Linked DNA regions of Schizosaccharomyces pombe. The gene in region 1 interacts genetically with each later gene. Each region holds a gene or a part of one and is shown in the gene's direction. Other genes may lie near its edges.

What was found. Genes that interact genetically often act in the same process or in processes that back each other up.
Region 2: mutations in tfs1 (region 1) and sgf29 together harm fitness less than expected from each alone (positive genetic interaction), as found in Schizosaccharomyces pombe (2 studies listed by BioGRID).
Region 3: of tfs1 (region 1) and prz1, extra expression of one rescues a mutant of the other (dosage rescue), as found in Schizosaccharomyces pombe (2 studies listed by BioGRID, with this or other methods).

Annotation. Positions count from the first base shown.
Region 1 is NC_003424.3:2,114,413-2,118,178, reverse strand, and holds tfs1 (general transcription elongation factor TFIIS), read left to right. Parts: upstream 1-1,722; 5' UTR 1,723-1,797; coding exon 1,798-1,866; intron 1,867-1,923; coding exon 1,924-1,986; intron 1,987-2,161; coding exon 2,162-2,841; intron 2,842-2,904; coding exon 2,905-2,929; intron 2,930-2,978; coding exon 2,979-3,023; 3' UTR 3,024-3,266; downstream 3,267-3,766. Other genes in the region: ATP-dependent 3'-5'-directionality DNA helicase fml2, read right to left, coding at 1-1,310; protein dsc3, read right to left, coding at 3,416-3,766. UniProt on the Schizosaccharomyces pombe protein: Necessary for efficient RNA polymerase II transcription elongation past template-encoded arresting sites.
Region 2 is NC_003423.3:2,417,186-2,423,075, reverse strand, and holds sgf29 (SAGA complex subunit Sgf29), read left to right. Parts: upstream 1-3,030; 5' UTR 3,031-3,094; coding exon 3,095-3,543; exon of another isoform or gene 3,544-3,644; coding exon 3,645-3,930; 3' UTR 3,931-4,338; downstream 4,339-5,890. Other genes in the region: cysteine desulfurase Nfs1, read right to left, coding at 1-316; BAR adaptor protein Hob1, read left to right, coding at 818-2,149, 2,218-2,286; pvg3 (galactosylxylosylprotein 3-beta-galactosyltransferase Pvg1), read left to right, coding at 4,774-5,890. UniProt on the Schizosaccharomyces pombe protein: Chromatin reader component of the transcription coactivator SAGA complex. SAGA acts as a general cofactor required for essentially all RNA polymerase II transcription.
Region 3 is NC_003424.3:785,226-792,920, reverse strand, and holds prz1 (calcineurin-responsive transcription factor Prz1), read left to right. Parts: upstream 1-3,008; 5' UTR 3,009-3,756; coding exon 3,757-5,802; 3' UTR 5,803-6,143; downstream 6,144-7,695. Other genes in the region: mta1 (S-methyl-5-thioadenosine phosphorylase), read left to right, coding at 1-232; SPOM_SPAC16C9.01C (carbohydrate kinase), read left to right, coding at 753-792, 830-907, 1,070-2,037; smp3 (alpha-1,2-mannosyltransferase), read left to right, coding at 6,358-6,481, 6,522-6,647, 6,692-6,760, 6,859-7,025, 7,066-7,223, 7,289-7,695. UniProt on the Schizosaccharomyces pombe protein: Involved in the regulation of calcium ion homeostasis. Binds to the calcineurin-dependent response element. Transcriptionally regulates pmc1.

The DNA of each region.
Region 1 (3,766 bases):
AGGTGTTCTAAATAAAAAGCAAACGGTTTACTAGTAAACAACCAAAAGCTTTGTCCACTCCCTTTTCCTTCAGCTTTATTTTTAGTTTCCACAAGCTTTTGATAAAATTGGATAATCCCATGACAATCTAACAGATACGTTATATGAGCACATGAAATCAATAGCGTAAAGCAACTCATGATTTTTGATTTTTCTTTAGATTGTACATTTTTTGAACTAAAGGAATACTTTCGTAAAGAAACGAAAAGCGTATAAGCTTTTATATTAAGGCATTCACAATTGATAGGTATAAGTTTTTTTTGACGGAGAAAATTAAAATATGGCCGGTATAGGTTAGCAAAGTCCGATTTTAAAATATTCATTTCAGAGGAGATCGTGACCTTAATCAACTGAATCTTTTTATGAAAAACATATGAGCGAATATCTATACTTTCTTCGTTGCGAACAATGAGTTTGGAGATATGGAGGCAATCTACTACCTTTTGAACAGAGGCGGTAGAAGATCCTGGAGTTGCGGTTAAACCAAGGACTCGAAAATGACTATTAGATCTAAGCACTGCCCTCATAACCTGAGCATACGAATGGTTGCCAGTAGCTCTATGAGCTTCATCAAATATCAGGCAAATAATACTTTTGGCATCCAGTAAATGTTCCTTTAAATCATTCTGGAGTGTTTGTGGAGTCATGAAAAATACTCGTTTCGTATTGTATTCGAAAAGTCGACGATCCGGTGATACTTCACCGTTCAATTCAGCGGTAGCACCTGGTGACATTCCCGCTACATTGGAACAAGCAACTCTTTGTTGCAACAGTAATGGTTTTGTGGGGGCAAGAAATATTATTTTGCTTTCAGGAAACCAACGAAAATAGTTTAACATGACCACTGCCGCAATAAATGTCTTTCCCAACCCAGTAGGTAGAGCCAGTAATAAATTGTGGAATAATGCTTGCTCACAAAATTCCTTTTGATAATTTCTATACTGCTGAGTCTGTGGAAAAATCCAGTTTTGCATTGCATCAATATTTTTTGGAATGTCAATATTGTTTTCTAACTCAGTTATAACTTGAGGTTGAGAAGAAGGAACCCTACAGCCTCGCAAGTCTAGTTGAAACGTAGTATTTTCAACGTCTTGATTATGTTTTATACATTTCAAATTTGGTTGCCTTAAAGCAGGATTAGAATTCAACAAAGATCCTTCAACATTACAAAGCACTGAGGTAGGAACATTTCCTCGTTCTCCGTTCACCTCGATACTTGGCAGGTCTACTTCAGAGTCGGAATAGTCACTTGAGTCTCTCAGTACAATCATGAAACTAAATTTATGAAAACGAACGAACACATAGACCAAAGTAAGTTTCAAAAATAAACTGAATATCAAACTTTTAAATTCTTGAACATCAAGTTTCTTCAATTTGATCAAACAACATTATAATCTTTGCTTTTCATAAACAAAGCTGATAAAACAATTAACAATTGAGTAAGATCAAGTCAGCGGAGGAGCATGAAAATTTAACGTTGTAAAATAAACACGAGTACTAATGCGATAAACAGAAAACAGTTTGCAAACTTGAAAAAAAAACTGTCAAACTCAAGAATTCAACTAACAAAATCACGTTACGGGGTGTTGATATTCACATCAGCAACTATGGTGGTGAAGAAAAATCACAACGGTATTAGTAGACATGTGAGATGTAAAGCGCGTTATCCAAAATAAATCCTCTACCACCATAAGATTATTAATTTTGCAATCTGCTAACCAACAGCAGTGTTTACAGTATTCGAACTTAATTTGAATCATGGACTCTGCTGATATCCGATCTGCGAAAGCAGCTTTGGAAAAAGCTATTCAGGGAAAGAATATAGAGGTTTGTAATTTGTGCTATTGGGACTTACAGATGGTTTTGAAGCTAATATCAAGCTAGACTATAATTAACATTATGACACGTTTAAAAAATGAAGTAGTTGCTACCGAAGAATTACTTAAGGTAGGTTTATTACATGCAATATGGTAGTATTCTCGCACGGATTGTTGACAATATATTACATGAATTTTGCAAATTTCACTTAATAGAAATAACATCTTTCTTAAAATACGAATTCCACAAGAGTACCAACATTTGATGGAGAATCGGTATTCAAAATACTAACCAATGATGCTAGGAAACCCGGCTGGGATTAGTCGTTGGCAAGCTCAGATCTCATCCCAATGAGAAAGTTGGTGAGCAAGCTCGGGAAATTGTAAAAAAATGGAAAGCCGATGTTAGTAAAGGTCGTCCATTGAAAACCACAACTACAACTTCCTCCACGCCTTCTAAACATGCGGATGTAGGTTCTCAAGCTCAAAAACAAGTTCAAAAACAAAGCAGCAGTGGTCAGCGTACTTTTAAATCTGATAATGTGAACGTCAATGTGACTGATGACAAGATTCGCAACAACTGTATTGGATTAATGTACAATGCATTAGTCATAGATTCGGATGAATCTTCTTCATTAATAATAGCCAAAGCCAAAGAAATTGATGCGCAAGTACTTGCTAGAGCAGCAGGTAAAACTGGTTCTGAATATCGAAACAGAATGCGGTCCTTGTATATGAATCTTAAAGATAAAAATAACCCGAAACTTAGAGCATCAGTATTACGAAATGAAATTACTCCGCAAAGACTCAGTACCATGACTTCTGCCGAATTGGCTTCAGAAGACCGTCGCAAGGAAGATGCCAAGCTAGAACAAGAAAATTTATTCCATGCGCAAGGTGCTAAACCCCAAAAAGCTGTTACAGACCTTTTTACTTGTGGGAAGTGTAAGCAAAAAAAAGTTTCTTATTACCAAATGCAAACAAGGTATGTTATTTGTCATGATTTTAGTACTTTTTATCGCGTAAAATTTATTAACAATCCGTATAGATCTGCTGATGAGCCTATGACAACGGTAAGCATTAGTCTATTTGGGTAGAATATTTGGACTAATTTTTTTTTAGTTTTGTGAATGTACTGTTTGCGGAAATCGCTGGAAATTTTCTTAAATCTTGGGTCAGCCCATTTAGATACCGGTTGTAAAATAATCCTTCATATTTCTTCTTCTTTTTATTGTTTTAGAAGCACTCTCCTCTATTGTGTGTGTTTTTTTTTGTTTTAGGATCTGATTGGTATCTTTCATTCTAGCGATGAATATATGCATATTTTACTTTTGCACACTCAATACGACACTTTTACAGTTATCCTACTTTACACTTCTTAATAAATCCAAATGGTGTTTTAAACGTACATTTAATAAGTTAACGCTTGATCAAAGCGAATAGATCATAAAATTCGACATTATTAATCCTCAATTAAACTGTAGTCATAATTAACAAGTGCAACGAAAAGTGGAACGATTAATTGTATTGGACAAAAATTTTAACAAAAATGAACGGGTTTACCATCGATACGAGTGTAATAAGCCGTATGCAAAATTGCAAATAATTCCGACAAGAATGGATAATTGCATTCTCAGAGAGAACATTGTCCTTTCCCAAAGAAAATAACAAGCAATAGCTCCTCCAAAAAAGCCTATTAATACTCCAGCCAACAAGGTTTCATATGACATGTCAAGTTCGTCGGCAGAAGAGTTTTGTCCTCCATTGTCAATCCAATCGTCTTCTGCCTCTCTGATAGCGTCTTCCGTGAGTGAATCCAAATTAGTTCCTCGTAAGCGATGAAATTGGCTACGCAAATTATTGACCTCGGTTTCTGTAAAACCAGCTTCACGTAAACGATCAAAACCACG
Region 2 (5,890 bases), on another chromosome or scaffold:
TATATATAGGATGCAATCCCGTAACCGTACTAGCAGCGGTTTGTGCTTGATCCAAAGTTACTGTTTTCAAAGAATTTTCCGGTATGGGCTCTTGAACCGCCGTCATGTTTCCTAGCCCGTACATTTGTTCACGAGGTTTATTGCTCATTGAAGGTTTGTCCATACGACTGGAAGTCATAAACGACCTACCGTAAACTCCAAGACTCTGTCTAACATTATTAATATCCTGACTCTCTCGCTTGACAAAAAATAAAGCACTTCGTAGTTCAAGAAGGCATCTTGCTCTAGAAAGCATCAAACTTCCCATTTTGGACATGGTTGTTTCCAAAATAGAGGAAATTTTGCTAATTCTTTATTTATTTCCTAAACAACAAGAAACAAGTCCTTTTTAAAATAATTTGGCAGTTGCTAAGTTCAAATTTTGCGATCTGACTAATAAAAATTTTGGTTGGCGGCGTATCTGAAACCAACCAAAACTAAGCTTCGACCCAATACATGTAGAGCTGCGCAATTATCAGTATGTTATCATTGCATCGTAAACGACGGAGACACTGTTCAATCGAATAAAAACTGTAATAAAGAGCATAGAGACGAGCAAATTAAAATCAAATGTTTGCCTTATATTTACTATGTTTTCACCTCATCTAGATAAAAATAAAAATAAAAATAACGAGACGTTGCGTAGTATACTGTATTTGCGATTCGGCACAATTACAGGAAACGATCAGCATTGCTGCGAAGTATGCTACGTGAATACGGAGAAGGATGGTTAAGGGAATTTGAAAGGGTCAGACATACCAACTACCAGAATTACTTGATGAGCTGGAAAGGGTTTACAAAGGCACTTGCGCGTACGCCGCAGACTCTACGCAGCAAGTTTAATGTTGGAGAGATTACCAAAGATCCTATTTATGAGGATGCTGGAAGACGGTTTAAGTCTTTAGAAACGGAAGCGAAAAAGCTGGCTGAAGACGCCAAAAAGTATACTGATGCTATTAATGGGTTATTGAATCATCAAATTGGATTTGCCGATGCTTGTATTGAAATTTACAAGCCTATTAGTGGGCGTGCTTCGGATCCTGAATCGTATGAGCAAGAAGGCAATGCGGAAGGTATTGAGGCTGCCGAGGCTTACAAGGAAATTGTATACGATCTCCAAAAGAATTTGGCTTCTGAAATGGATGTTATCAACACTCGCATTGTCAATCCAACTGGTGAACTGCTCAAGATTGTTAAGGATGTAGATAAGCTTTTGTTGAAACGCGATCATAAGCAGCTGGATTATGATCGTCATCGTTCATCTTTCAAGAAACTTCAGGAAAAGAAGGATAAAAGCCTTAAAGATGAGAAGAAGCTTTATGAAGCTGAAACCGCCTTTGAACAATCTTCCCAAGAATATGAATATTATAATGAAATGCTGAAGGAGGAGTTACCTAAACTATTTGCATTGGCTCAGAGCTTCATTGCTCCCTTATTCCAAGGATTTTACTATATGCAATTAAATGTCTATTACGTTCTTTATGAAAAGATGAGTCACTGCGAAATTCAGTACTTTGATTTCAATACCGATATTTTGGAATCGTACGAAAGAAGACGCGGCGATGTTAAAGATCGCGCAGAGGCTTTGACGATTACTAAATTTAAGACCGCTAAACCGACGTATAAACGACCGGGTATGGGACCGGGTGGTAAAGATGCAACTGCTTCTTCTTCTTCTTCCTTTTCGTCAAAGCGTGAAGAAGCAGCAGCCGAACCCTCCTCTTCGACAGCTACGGATATTCCACCCCCATACTCAACGCCATCGGTTGCCGGAGCTTCCGATTATTCTACCCCAAGTGCAGGTTATCAAACTGTTCAGACGACCACTACTACAACTGAAGCAGCAGCTGCTCAATACCCTCAAGCGGCCTTTCCTCCCCCTCCAGTTATGCCTCAACCTGCTGCTGCGGCAGTGACCACACCTGTTGCTGCACCGGTAGCAGCAGCTGCAGCCGCAGTTCCCGTACCTCCACCAGCGCCTGCACCTGCTGCGGCTCCCGCCGCAGAGCATGTTGTTGCTTTATATGATTATGCTGCCCAAGCAGCCGGAGATTTATCTTTTCATGCTGGCGATCGTATCGAAGTTGTTTCACGTACTGATAATCAAAATGTAAGTACTTAAACTTAAATTTTCATTTTTTTCTTATTAAACAAGGACTTTACTAATATATATTTTAGGAATGGTGGATTGGCCGACTTAACGGTGCACAAGGTCAATTTCCTGGTAATTATGTTCAGCTTGAATAAAGCGTTTTTAAATTTACCTAGATGTGTCTTAAAATCTCGCTGCCTACTGAAGTCAATATAGAAGCTTGATTATAGGACTTGTTGTTACAGGTTACTGTTTGTGTGCGCGCTTCAACAAGTTTTACACTGCTATTCAATTTCTATCAATTTTGTCGTTCTAACTATGATGCTTAAATTTAGACATGTATTCCATACATCATCATCTCCAGTGATAATTTAACACTGTCTATGTTTGAATACTGGCTTTTTATCAACGTGTTTCCTTACTGACGTGTACTTCAAAGAGTAGCACATTTTTTGAAATGTTTTGAATAACGTAAACTTATATATATTAATTACGTTTAACTGTTTTTATTTTAATTTAACTAGTCTATCAACAAAGCTGTCCTTTCTTATATCTATACTTTAACAGTGCTAGCTAGGATTGAAGCAAAACATGATTCGAACTAGAGCTTTCATTGTGATATTGAATTTTTTGGGATTTGTAGTTTCAACAGTATAACAATCGGAATTGATGTATTCTAGCAGGAAATATACGACATACAGTATTTAGAGTCGTTGCTAAACGAGAATCGTTTAACGAACTTCGTTAACAGACAGTATTCCATGACTTAAGTGAATAGTTAACTACGTAACCTAATGCAGCAACGATACGGTAAATACAATATCGAGTGTTAATGAAATTTGTAATAAAGTAATTTGCATAGCTGATAGTATCATGCAAATCAATCTAGTAAGTGAGTTAGCACCTACCAAAGGAAATTGGATGATGAAAAGTGTTGTTTGAGAATATCAGTTACAGGATATTATGGTACGCCCCATAAATGCTGAAGAGGATGTGACATCCATGTGGGTTAAATTTCATGAAAGCCTAAATCCCATTCGGTCTAGTTTAATAAAACAAGAAGAATGTTATAAAACGGTTGATGGCGACGATAATCCAATTGAAGAAAGAATTAAAGCGTGTGACGCGGGAATTCAAACCTCTGAAGAACAGAAAAAAGAATTGGAGCATACAATGCAATCTCTTGAGATGATTATTAATGTACTCGAAAAAGCCAATGAAAAACCTGTAATTACAAATAGTCCTTTGACGAGAAGTCGTCGAAACCGAGGAACAAGCTTTACAGCAAATACAGTAACCTTTACACCTGGCATGTCTGTAGCTTTCAAGTTACCATACACGAGGCATAACGAGGGAGGTGATTGGATTCAATGTATCATTATTAAAGTGACTGGAGAAGGAGCAAAACAGAGGTGAGTTTTCAAAAGCAAATATTGTCAGTCGCGAGTTCAAATTTACTTCTAAGCTTATATGTTGATAATATTTTTTTACCAGTATATTAACAAAACCATAGATTTGAAGTGCAGGATCCAGAACCGGATGATGACGGTAATGCAGGTCAAATTTATAAAACTACAGCTAATCATCTTATACAAATTCCTGCAAAAGGAACTCCTTTACCCCCAATAAGCCCAAAAACAAATGTTTTAGCTCGATATCCTGAAACTACTACGTTTTATCGGGCAGAAGTCATTCGCACTCTGCCTGATGGATCATGTAAACTTCGATTTGAAGGAGAAGAGGAAGTTGGGAAAGAAACAGTGGTAGAGCGTCATTTGGTGTTAGAGTACAATGGTTAAAACTGGAACGTTTTACTCAGATTTTTTAGGAGGTATTAGTTAAAGGTTATTTTTATTCACTTCGATATTAGGTTCACAGCATTTAAAAAAATTGATGACATTATCTGTAATATGCATAACTCAGATTTAACATTTTTTTTATTCATTGTGATGTTGAGTTGTTCCTTATATTTTATATATTAATGGCGTTAACGCATGTTAATAACTTAAGCCAAGACAAGGGCTCATTCAAAGTACTTGCTTCTATCGTGTTGCACATCTAACATTGCTAATGTACGCCAAATCTGCTTGCTTCCTTGACATTTTGCAAGGAATCTAATTTTAAAAAATAGTAGTAACATGACAGTCTAGAAAAAATTTCAAACACCTATAGAGGAAACTGAATACTAAAACTAAGTTCATTTAACGAGTATCTCCTATTAAATTATTCATAAAAATAAACAAAATAGAAAAATTGTATATGTATGAATCCTTTGGTTAATGGACTCTGAGATAAAGAAATGTAGCAACCCGGTATATATAGTTAACGCATTTATAGTTACCAACGCTATGAGGGCATTAAGGGTTTGAGTAGCTGCTCTTCTGGTTACATTATGACTGCGTATTTATGGTGGACGTGAATATGGCACCAAGCACAGCTTTGTTTTCAGAACCAAACATTATACTCCTTTCAGAGTTATATTCTGTTTGCTGGCTCATATATTCAAGGAGTCTTTTGTTTAATTCTCAACGATCTTTAAGTTTGGTTTTATTTTATTCTTTTATTCAAAGGGACAATTAATATTCACGTCTCTCTAATTGACCTCCTGGCGCAACGTGCTCGTTTAATTAAACTCTTTCACTATGTTTTCAAATTCTAAAAAAAAAATTTTTCTTTACGTGCTAATTGCCGGTGTTGCTACTTTTTCCTTTGCTTTTCTTGTACTAAATCGTCTACAGGCCGAAGAACATTCACTCGCCTACGTAGAGAATTTGTTTTTAGATCCCTTCATTAAGCAAAATGAATCGCTTGCCCATGCGAACGACAGACCTTTCAAACTGTATTTGGGGATTTTTAGTCAAGCTAAGAACGTGGATAGGCGTAACTTTTTACGTACCGACTATAATGAATATATTAAGGAGTTTGCCGTAAATGATACTGTGGATGTTAGATTTATCCTTGGTTTACCTGAGAATGAGCAGGAATTAGCTACCATTCGCGAAGAGCAGCGAACGTATGGTGACTTAGCAGTACTACCTATTCCGGAGAATGTGGATGCTGGAAAGTCCATTGTATACTTCCAAACATTTTTAGAGGGCTACCAGCCGTTTCCTCTTTTTTCTGAACTTGCAGATAATCTTATAATGCCCAGCACTCAGTTTCATGGTAGTTTTATATATAATCAAAGTATTAAGACATATGAGTTGCCTGGTATGAAGGAATTCCAAGATCTCGGCGAGCCAAAGCATGACTACGATTTTATTGTTAAAGCCGATGACGATTCTTTCTTGAATTTACCCCGTCTGTTTGAAATGTTGAAAGAGCACGTTGGGAAAAGCCGCTTTTATTTTGGAAGGGATTGCACACGAAGAGAATTACCTACCGCTGTTCGTGACTTCCCGTACATGTGCGGGTTCTTCTATATAGTATCTCCTGATATGGCTTATGAGGTGGCTAAACGCCGTAATATTATTATTCCGTTTGAAGATGCTCAGACCGGCTATAGCATTTACCTTTCCGGTAATGTAAAAAATGCGGAATTCTCTAAATGCACATTGTATGATTTGATTTTACCCAACGAAGGTTTTAATTATCGTCAAAGCTATTTACGCATTGACGCCATTGCCGTCCATAAGCTTAAAAGCATCCCTCTCTTGTCGACGGTAAGCAATTGGTTTAAAAAAATGTATGAACATCGTGCCAATTGCAGTGCCTTGATAGAAACTGAACGACTTTCGTGTCTTCAGGCAACAATTCCTT
Region 3 (7,695 bases), 1.3 Mb from region 1:
GCCTGTTACTGTTGAAACCGTGATGGAACATATCAGTAACAATAAAGATAATGCAAAAATCTTTTTACTGGAAGCCGTCAAAAAGTTAGAAGCTCCACTTTTGCAAGGATTTTTGGGAAGGAACTTGCGAGAAAGTGTTCAAAATGGGATTCAAACAAATCACAAGCATCGTAACCCAGATGCAATTAGACGACTTCAATTTCTTTTTCCCAATCTTACCATTCCGCACTAAAGAGCAAAGCTTTGGGAAGTAACATTTGAAATTTTATAAAAGAGTAGACTTAGCTATATTGCTTGCTAATTGACTGGTCAGGACTGTTGCATTGCTAACACTTAGATTAGTTAATTTTATATTGGAAAGTGATAATTCCTTTTTGAGAATGATGAGTACTTCCTATATATCGTTAGGAAAATACAATGTTCTAAGTATGACATGTGTGCTTGATATATGGTATGTAGTAGTATGCCCATTCATCTCATACAAAAGTAAGCAAATGCAAAAGTACATTTTTTACGGATACTTAATTTTCAGCATGATTCAACACTTCCTTCATAAATATGAAATATTTTATTTAATTATTCGCCATGTTACCTTTAAATTACTATACAGAGTGCAGGATGTTTATTGATAATTACGTAGATTATCTGCAGATGTTCGCTAACTCTGACTTTTAATGCACCAACATTAAAGCAATATATGTTCTTATAATTAAGAAAAAAACAACTTACAGTAATTTTTTGGGATTAACAAAATGGATTATCCTTCGAAAGATGTGGAATTCGTCACAACTGGTAAAAACTTTCACATATAAGTGCTAACGAATGCAAGGCATGTTTATTATAGATGAAATTGAATTCGACGGCGGAAAGAAGATTAAAGATATTATTGGAGGTGCAGGATCTTTTGGTAAGTGTCTAATTCTTTTTAAAATTTTAAGCGGAGCGATTTGCGAACTTCATTGGTGAAGCATATCTGTTTATCGAAGGTTGAAATCCTCTCCCTTAGAAAAAAGATGCATTGCGTCCAATATTTTTATTATTAAAATAATAATTAACACATTATTTTCAGCATTGATTGGTGCTAGACTCTGGACGTCTGAACCCGAAAGTCAACAACTGGGAATGATTGTTGACAAAGGCTCTGATTTCCCGCAGGTGATCCTCGATGAATTAAACGATTTACATACTGGAATTGTATACAGAGAAACGCCTTGGAGAAAAACTACATATGGTTACAACCGTCTCAGGGACAATGGTTTTCGATTGTTTGAATACCTTACACCTAAAAAGCCAATTCGTGCTCCTGATCTTTTGGAAACAGGATTGATATATGCAAAAACAATTCATATTATTACAAATCCTAAAACATTTGTCTCTGTGTGTGAGGAACTGGCAAAGTATGGAAATCTAAAAAATCGTCCTAAAATCGTATGGGAGCCAACGCCTGAATCCTGTTTACCGGAAAACTGGCATATTTTACAAAAAGCCTTAAAGTATTGTGATATATTTTCTCCAAACGAGGTGGACTCTGCCAACCTTCTGGGTATAGATATTAGCGAAAGCAAATCTCGAGCCAAAGAGTTTGTATCTGCGTTTCAAGAATTCCAAATTGGGCACGATTCTCAAGGATGGGTTGTTCTTCGAAATGGGTCCGATGGTTGTTTAATTGGTGCATGCACGAGTAGTACCAACGCTACAAGCGATGCAGTTGTCCCTGTGCGAGAAATTCTTCATTTGCCAAGTGTACAAATGAAAAACGGAAGCGTTTTAGATACCACTGGGGCTGGTAATGCTTTTTGTGGAGCTGCAATCTTGGAGTATTATAGGACGGGTAATATTATAGAAGCTTGTGCTAAAGCTACTGTAGCCGCTTCGTTTGTCATTCAACAACACGGTTTGCCGGCACACACGAAAAATAGTGAAGGGATTGACTTATGGAACGGAGAATCAGTCTTTCAGAGGTTGAAAGAATACTATGAATTTTTAGCTTCTCATGAAGCTTCCGCCATCAAAGAACTTACGAAACGAGGTGTATAGGTTGCTCTTACAACACAATATAGTCATCTTTTGCTACGAAGTACAAATACTTAATAAGATTATTATACCATTTATTACAATACGCAATTTCGTTGCATTACAATTGGGATTTTCTGCATCTAGGTAATCTAATACAAGAAATGCTCTTGATATTTGCAAATATGATATATATTAGTTGACAGAACATCGGTTGAAGTATCCGATATGAACCGCTTCGTTCACAACATTCAACTAAGCCTCTGCACCAAAGAGCCTGGAACTCGTCAAAGCCGCCGTCCGTCGTATCGTGAGAGAAGATTCTTCAAAAATAATCAATAGTCAGAATTGCATGGTGGTTTGAAGTCTCTTACATATAATTTATAGTACTTTATGTTTTCAACTTAGAATTATTCCACAATTTATAAGTAGTACTACACCTTATTCTGCTTCCCCACTAATGAGTTTCGGATGGTGTTGAAAAGCTAATTTCATGAATTTCAAGCTTTGGGGTTTAATGCTTCTTGACAAGCCTACGGAAGTTCTCCATGTTGTAAGTGGTATTACATTTGGGCACGCCTTCAACTAATAACCGGCACTTTAAAGTATGTGGCTTTGCTTCCTACCCCTTAAACTAGAATATATATTTGATGTCGCTCAATAAATAAAACAAATTTTCATACATTCATGTTATTTAGCTATTTGTGCTTTGTATAAAATACATGTCTCATCACTTTACTATACACAAGTCGCCACCCTTTAGTAAGTCCAGTAAATTTTCAATAGAAAATTGGATGAATATCCTTCAAAAACCAATTTTTTTTCATTTCTGGAACTCCTTAACTGGGATCCTTTGTATATGGAAATTTATTATATTTTGTTTTTAATTTGTTTAGCAAACTGTTCTTTAGCATCCTGCTGCTTCATACTAACTTCAAGTTTAAACTGCGTGTTACTTAAAATTCGTTACCCGATCACGTCTTGTGCAATCCTTTACCACTACATCGCAGAAATATCTTGATGATTTAGCAATTCATCCGTTGTAAATATATAATCTGCTGGCCATTTATTAAACTATCATTTTTTTTTCTGTGAAAATCAAAGCGTTTAGCTGACGCTGTAGTATATTGAGGCTATTCTGTTTTTTTTCATGTCGAGTTAGCGATTTGCGCTTGTATACTTGTCTACCTAATTTTGCAATTTTTCCTAATCGTTAAAGGGTTTTCTCTTGTGCTGTCCTTTAGGTTACTTCCTCATTTCGATCTGTGAAAATCTCATTTGTCGCACTCTCTCCTCTCATTTGTATTGCTTAATGCCCTTTTTGACGTTGCTTAGCTAACAATTATATTGTACTAACCATCAATCTTCTCAGACTTTTATCCTGCGCATTATTCCAAAATACAAAATTTTGTATCAAGAAATTCTGTCGTTATCTGATCAAATCCTGTGAAGCACTGGATTAACTTTGACGACCTCAAGTCTTAATTTTTTCGTTTATTAAACGATACTTTTGGTAATTAATTATTCATTCCACTAATAAATTTCACACCCTTGGTGTTGCTGGTTTATCCAATTTATTACTACAAACCAGCTTTACTCTACTATTCGGTCAAAAAATTCACGTTATAGGCTTTTTGAAAAATAATTTGTCTAACCATTCAATTAAAGAGAGTTGGTGAGTCTTCAGACAATATTTTTGAGAGCGTACCGTTCCAAAAGTTAATTATTTGATGAATTTCATCGATGGAGCGTCAAAGGTCAGAAGAAGCGAATCGTAGATTCAAAGACTTGAATCCTTCTTCTTTATACGATAACCTTTCAAAGCCGGATCTTGGAGGCTCTAGCGAGTTGCATACGTACATGAATGACACTTCGCTTGCTGATATCCCCCTTTTTGAGGATACTCTTGCGTCTGAAGTTTCTTCTTCTTTAATTTCCAATCCTTCTAAAAATAATATTCAGCACCTCCATCCCAACACCTCCGAGCCTTTTAAAACGTCTTCAAAATCCGATGAATATGATTCTTATCCTCGAACCGGGAATGTACCTACTTTTTCATTTACAGAACTGAACGATACTTCAGTCAGTGGCTTCGGTAGTCAAGCGGTATTTGAAAACTCCGTTAGCCCTTTAAGTAATCCATCAAATAGTCCGCAAGCATTTGACTTGACTCAAGGTTCGAGTTCTACTCATAACGCCAACGACTTTACTGTTAACAATGTTGGCTCAAGACGACAATCCATTTATGAGTTTAATATTGGTATTCCGTCTTCAAATATCGATTCTTCTCAGTTCTTACCAGTTTCACGTGCAATTGCGGCTTCTGAAATTTCTCCATCTTCATCGCCTCAGCTATTAACATCCTTCCTTCCCTCAGGATCTGTTTCAAATCCGAGTTCTCCATATTTACAAGGTTCTGTTGGTGCTCTGTATGAAGCCGATGCTTTTAATTTTGTTGATGTAATGTCACAGGCATCTGGAACTGAAGTTGATTCAGAGAGATTTCCTTCTGTTGATTTTGAAGATCCATCTTTATTGATGGAGAATCAACAAAATATTACCGGAACCGGTTCTTTTGCTGACTACCTTCAACCACCTTCTTCCGGGAGCCTGGGGGCCTTTACGAACGCGTCTCCTGGTGAAAGCAACACTGGTATAGATTTTGATACGGATAATACCAATTTGAATCCTTCCGTTGATTTATTGTCTAACCATTCCACACCTTCTTTCATATTTGAGAACAGTCCTTCCGCTGAATTTTCTCACCAGTCATCCCCATATCTTGTTCCAAACTCCGGAAGGACTTTAAACAGCGAAAATGCTAGAGAATCTACTATTCGTTCTGTAAATTCTCCTTTTTCTGAGGACCATGCAGATGCCTCTTTAACAACACACGTTTTTGACCCTATTTCTCCTACCGCTTTAAGCAATTCCGTTTTGAATTATGATTCAAACAACTTTTCGGGTACCCCACAAATTAATGTAGTACCTTCATCTCCTTCCAAATCCCAATCTGGACCTAGTTTGCCAGCAAATCCTCTTCTTCAAACAGACATTAGTATCACTTATAGCCAGTCTGCATCTCCAGTATCTGGTCAACCTGCTATGAATGAAAATTCTTATGACTTACAAAACGCTAATCTTTGTGCTCCTGAAATGTCACCCACATATACGGCTCGTCATCGATCAAATAGTGCTGGCTCACGATTTGATGCTTATGAGCCCATACCTCAATTATATACTCACTTTTCACATTCTTCTGAATGTCTATCTGTTAACCAAGATACCGAACTGCTGGGAAAAATAGAGAATGATAATTCTAAGTCGAACGATTATTTGTCAGTTAGAAATACTCGTCCTCGAAGTCGATCATTGAATTCGCTAGTAGGAAACAAATCGGAAAATTCGTCTTCGTCTAAAGCAAAGTCAGAGTCTAAGTCTCAAGGAAATTACGTTTGTACATTTGCTGGTTGCAATAAGCGTTTTACTAGGGCTTATAATTTGAAAAGTCATATGAATACACATACAAATTACCGTCCCTTTCAATGTTCGATTTGTAAGAAATCATTTGCTAGACAGCATGATAAACGGAGACATGAGCAGTTACACACTGGCATTAAAGCCTTTGCATGTGTCACTTGCAATCAGAGGTTTGCTCGCATGGATGCACTTAACCGACATTATAAAAGTGAAGTTGGACAAAATTGTCTTCGCACGGCCACAGAACGAGGAATTCAAGTTCCGCCATCCAGAAAGACAGCAGTGGCCTCGACAAGCAAACAAAAATGATGTTTTAATTTCCAAAGCAAGACATTTTGCTTGCACCTGTGATTAATGGGTGTCTAACTATATTTCCTTTTGCAATGTGATGCAAGTATTTGCACAGTTTTGCATTTAGGGTTTTGTATTATTTTTTATCTTTGATGTTACGTTTGGCTTCGTTTATAGTTTATTAACTTTTTGCCCTTTTTAAAGAGAGTTGACATTGTTTATACTTAGTGATTGATTTTACCCCATCGTTGATCCAAAATACGGCTTTTAATATTAGATTTGTTTAAAATTAATTATGTTTTGGGTATTGAGTTAGATTAATTTAAAATGTAATAAGACCTGCAATTCTTCTAGTACAATTATTTTACTGAAACATTAGTTTAACGTATACTTTTTGTATGCTTCGTGTATTCTTAAACATATACCCGTCGACCAAGAGTTGTTTACATTTTCGCTTAGCAAACCTTTTTCATAACAAACATATATAGTTCGGAATATCTCGTTATATCTTCATCGTGTAATCCATTGCACACTGAAGCAATAAATCCCGTGCTTTATCCATTGAGATTAAGGATGTTTAAAAACCGTAAATATGCTATAATTTATACTTTTCTCCTAATTTTACGCTTTTGGTTTTCGCAAGGCAGCTCATACATACATCCGGATGAGCATTTACAATCGTTTCAAATATTCGCAAGTATATTACAATTCTTCAACAATTTATGACTAATATAAAGATAAATTATTTGGCTGGAAAGTGGAACTTCCATGGGAATTTACTACTAAAAAACCAATTCGGTCTGTAGTTCCTTTGAATGTGATGCTTTTACCTATTTTCTTGCTTTGCCGGTGTATTTGCAAATGTAAGTGTATTTTAAATTGAACGAAATTCTTACATATCCAAAAGCGAACTGCTCTCCGTATCCTATTTTGTTGTTCACTAGACTCTATATGTGTTTGATCTCTTTGTTAATAGGTATGTACATTGGCGAATATTAAGCTCTGATAAATTTGGAATTTATTTCAGAATTTACTACAAACCTTATTTCCTCCTTCCTTGACTAATTTTGGCAGATTTGAGTATTTGGAACATCGTACCTTTGAACGCAAGATGGAGTGCATTGCTTTTATATTCCTCATCCTTCATGGCTACTACATTTCAAACACATACTTTTACAAACTCAATTGAAACGATTTTCTTTTTTTTAACTATACTATTTCTTTCGAAGTTGAATAGTGTGGTAAGTTAATAGCTGGCAACTCTTAACTAACAAGAATCAGCCATTAAACAAGAAAATTAGTTATTTATATACATTTTTGCTTGCAATTGTTAGTGTATTAGGATTTTTCACAAGAATCACTTTTTTAGCTTTTGTGATCGCCCCCTATATCTATTTTTCTGTTCGATGTTTTAAAAAGAACGTGAACAATCCGAAAGAGTAAGTGATTTTGATTTTTAAATTGAATTAAAAATATATTATGGAATAAACACTAACTGGATTAGCATCTTTTTGCACTTATGTATTTTTGTTTCAGTTTCTTTTGCAACTGTCTTAGCATGCATCCTCGAGGACTACAAGTTTTATGGGGTGTTTGTGATAACATTTTGGAATAATTTAAAATACAATTCTCAAATCGAAAATTTGTCACAGCACGGATTGCACTCAAGATTAACACATTTTTTCACTAATATGCCACTCCTTTGTGGTCCTCTGATTTTTGTTCCAAAGCTTTGGGACGTTCGAAAACCTGCAACTTGGTTATGGCTTCTCCCCGTTTTCATACTATCCCTGTTTCCTCACCAAGAGCCCAGGTTTTTGCTACCCGCAGCCTCTATTTTTATAGTGAACTCTGGATGTCTAGTTCGTTCATATTGGATCAAATTTTTATTTGTAATGTATGCAGTTGTTT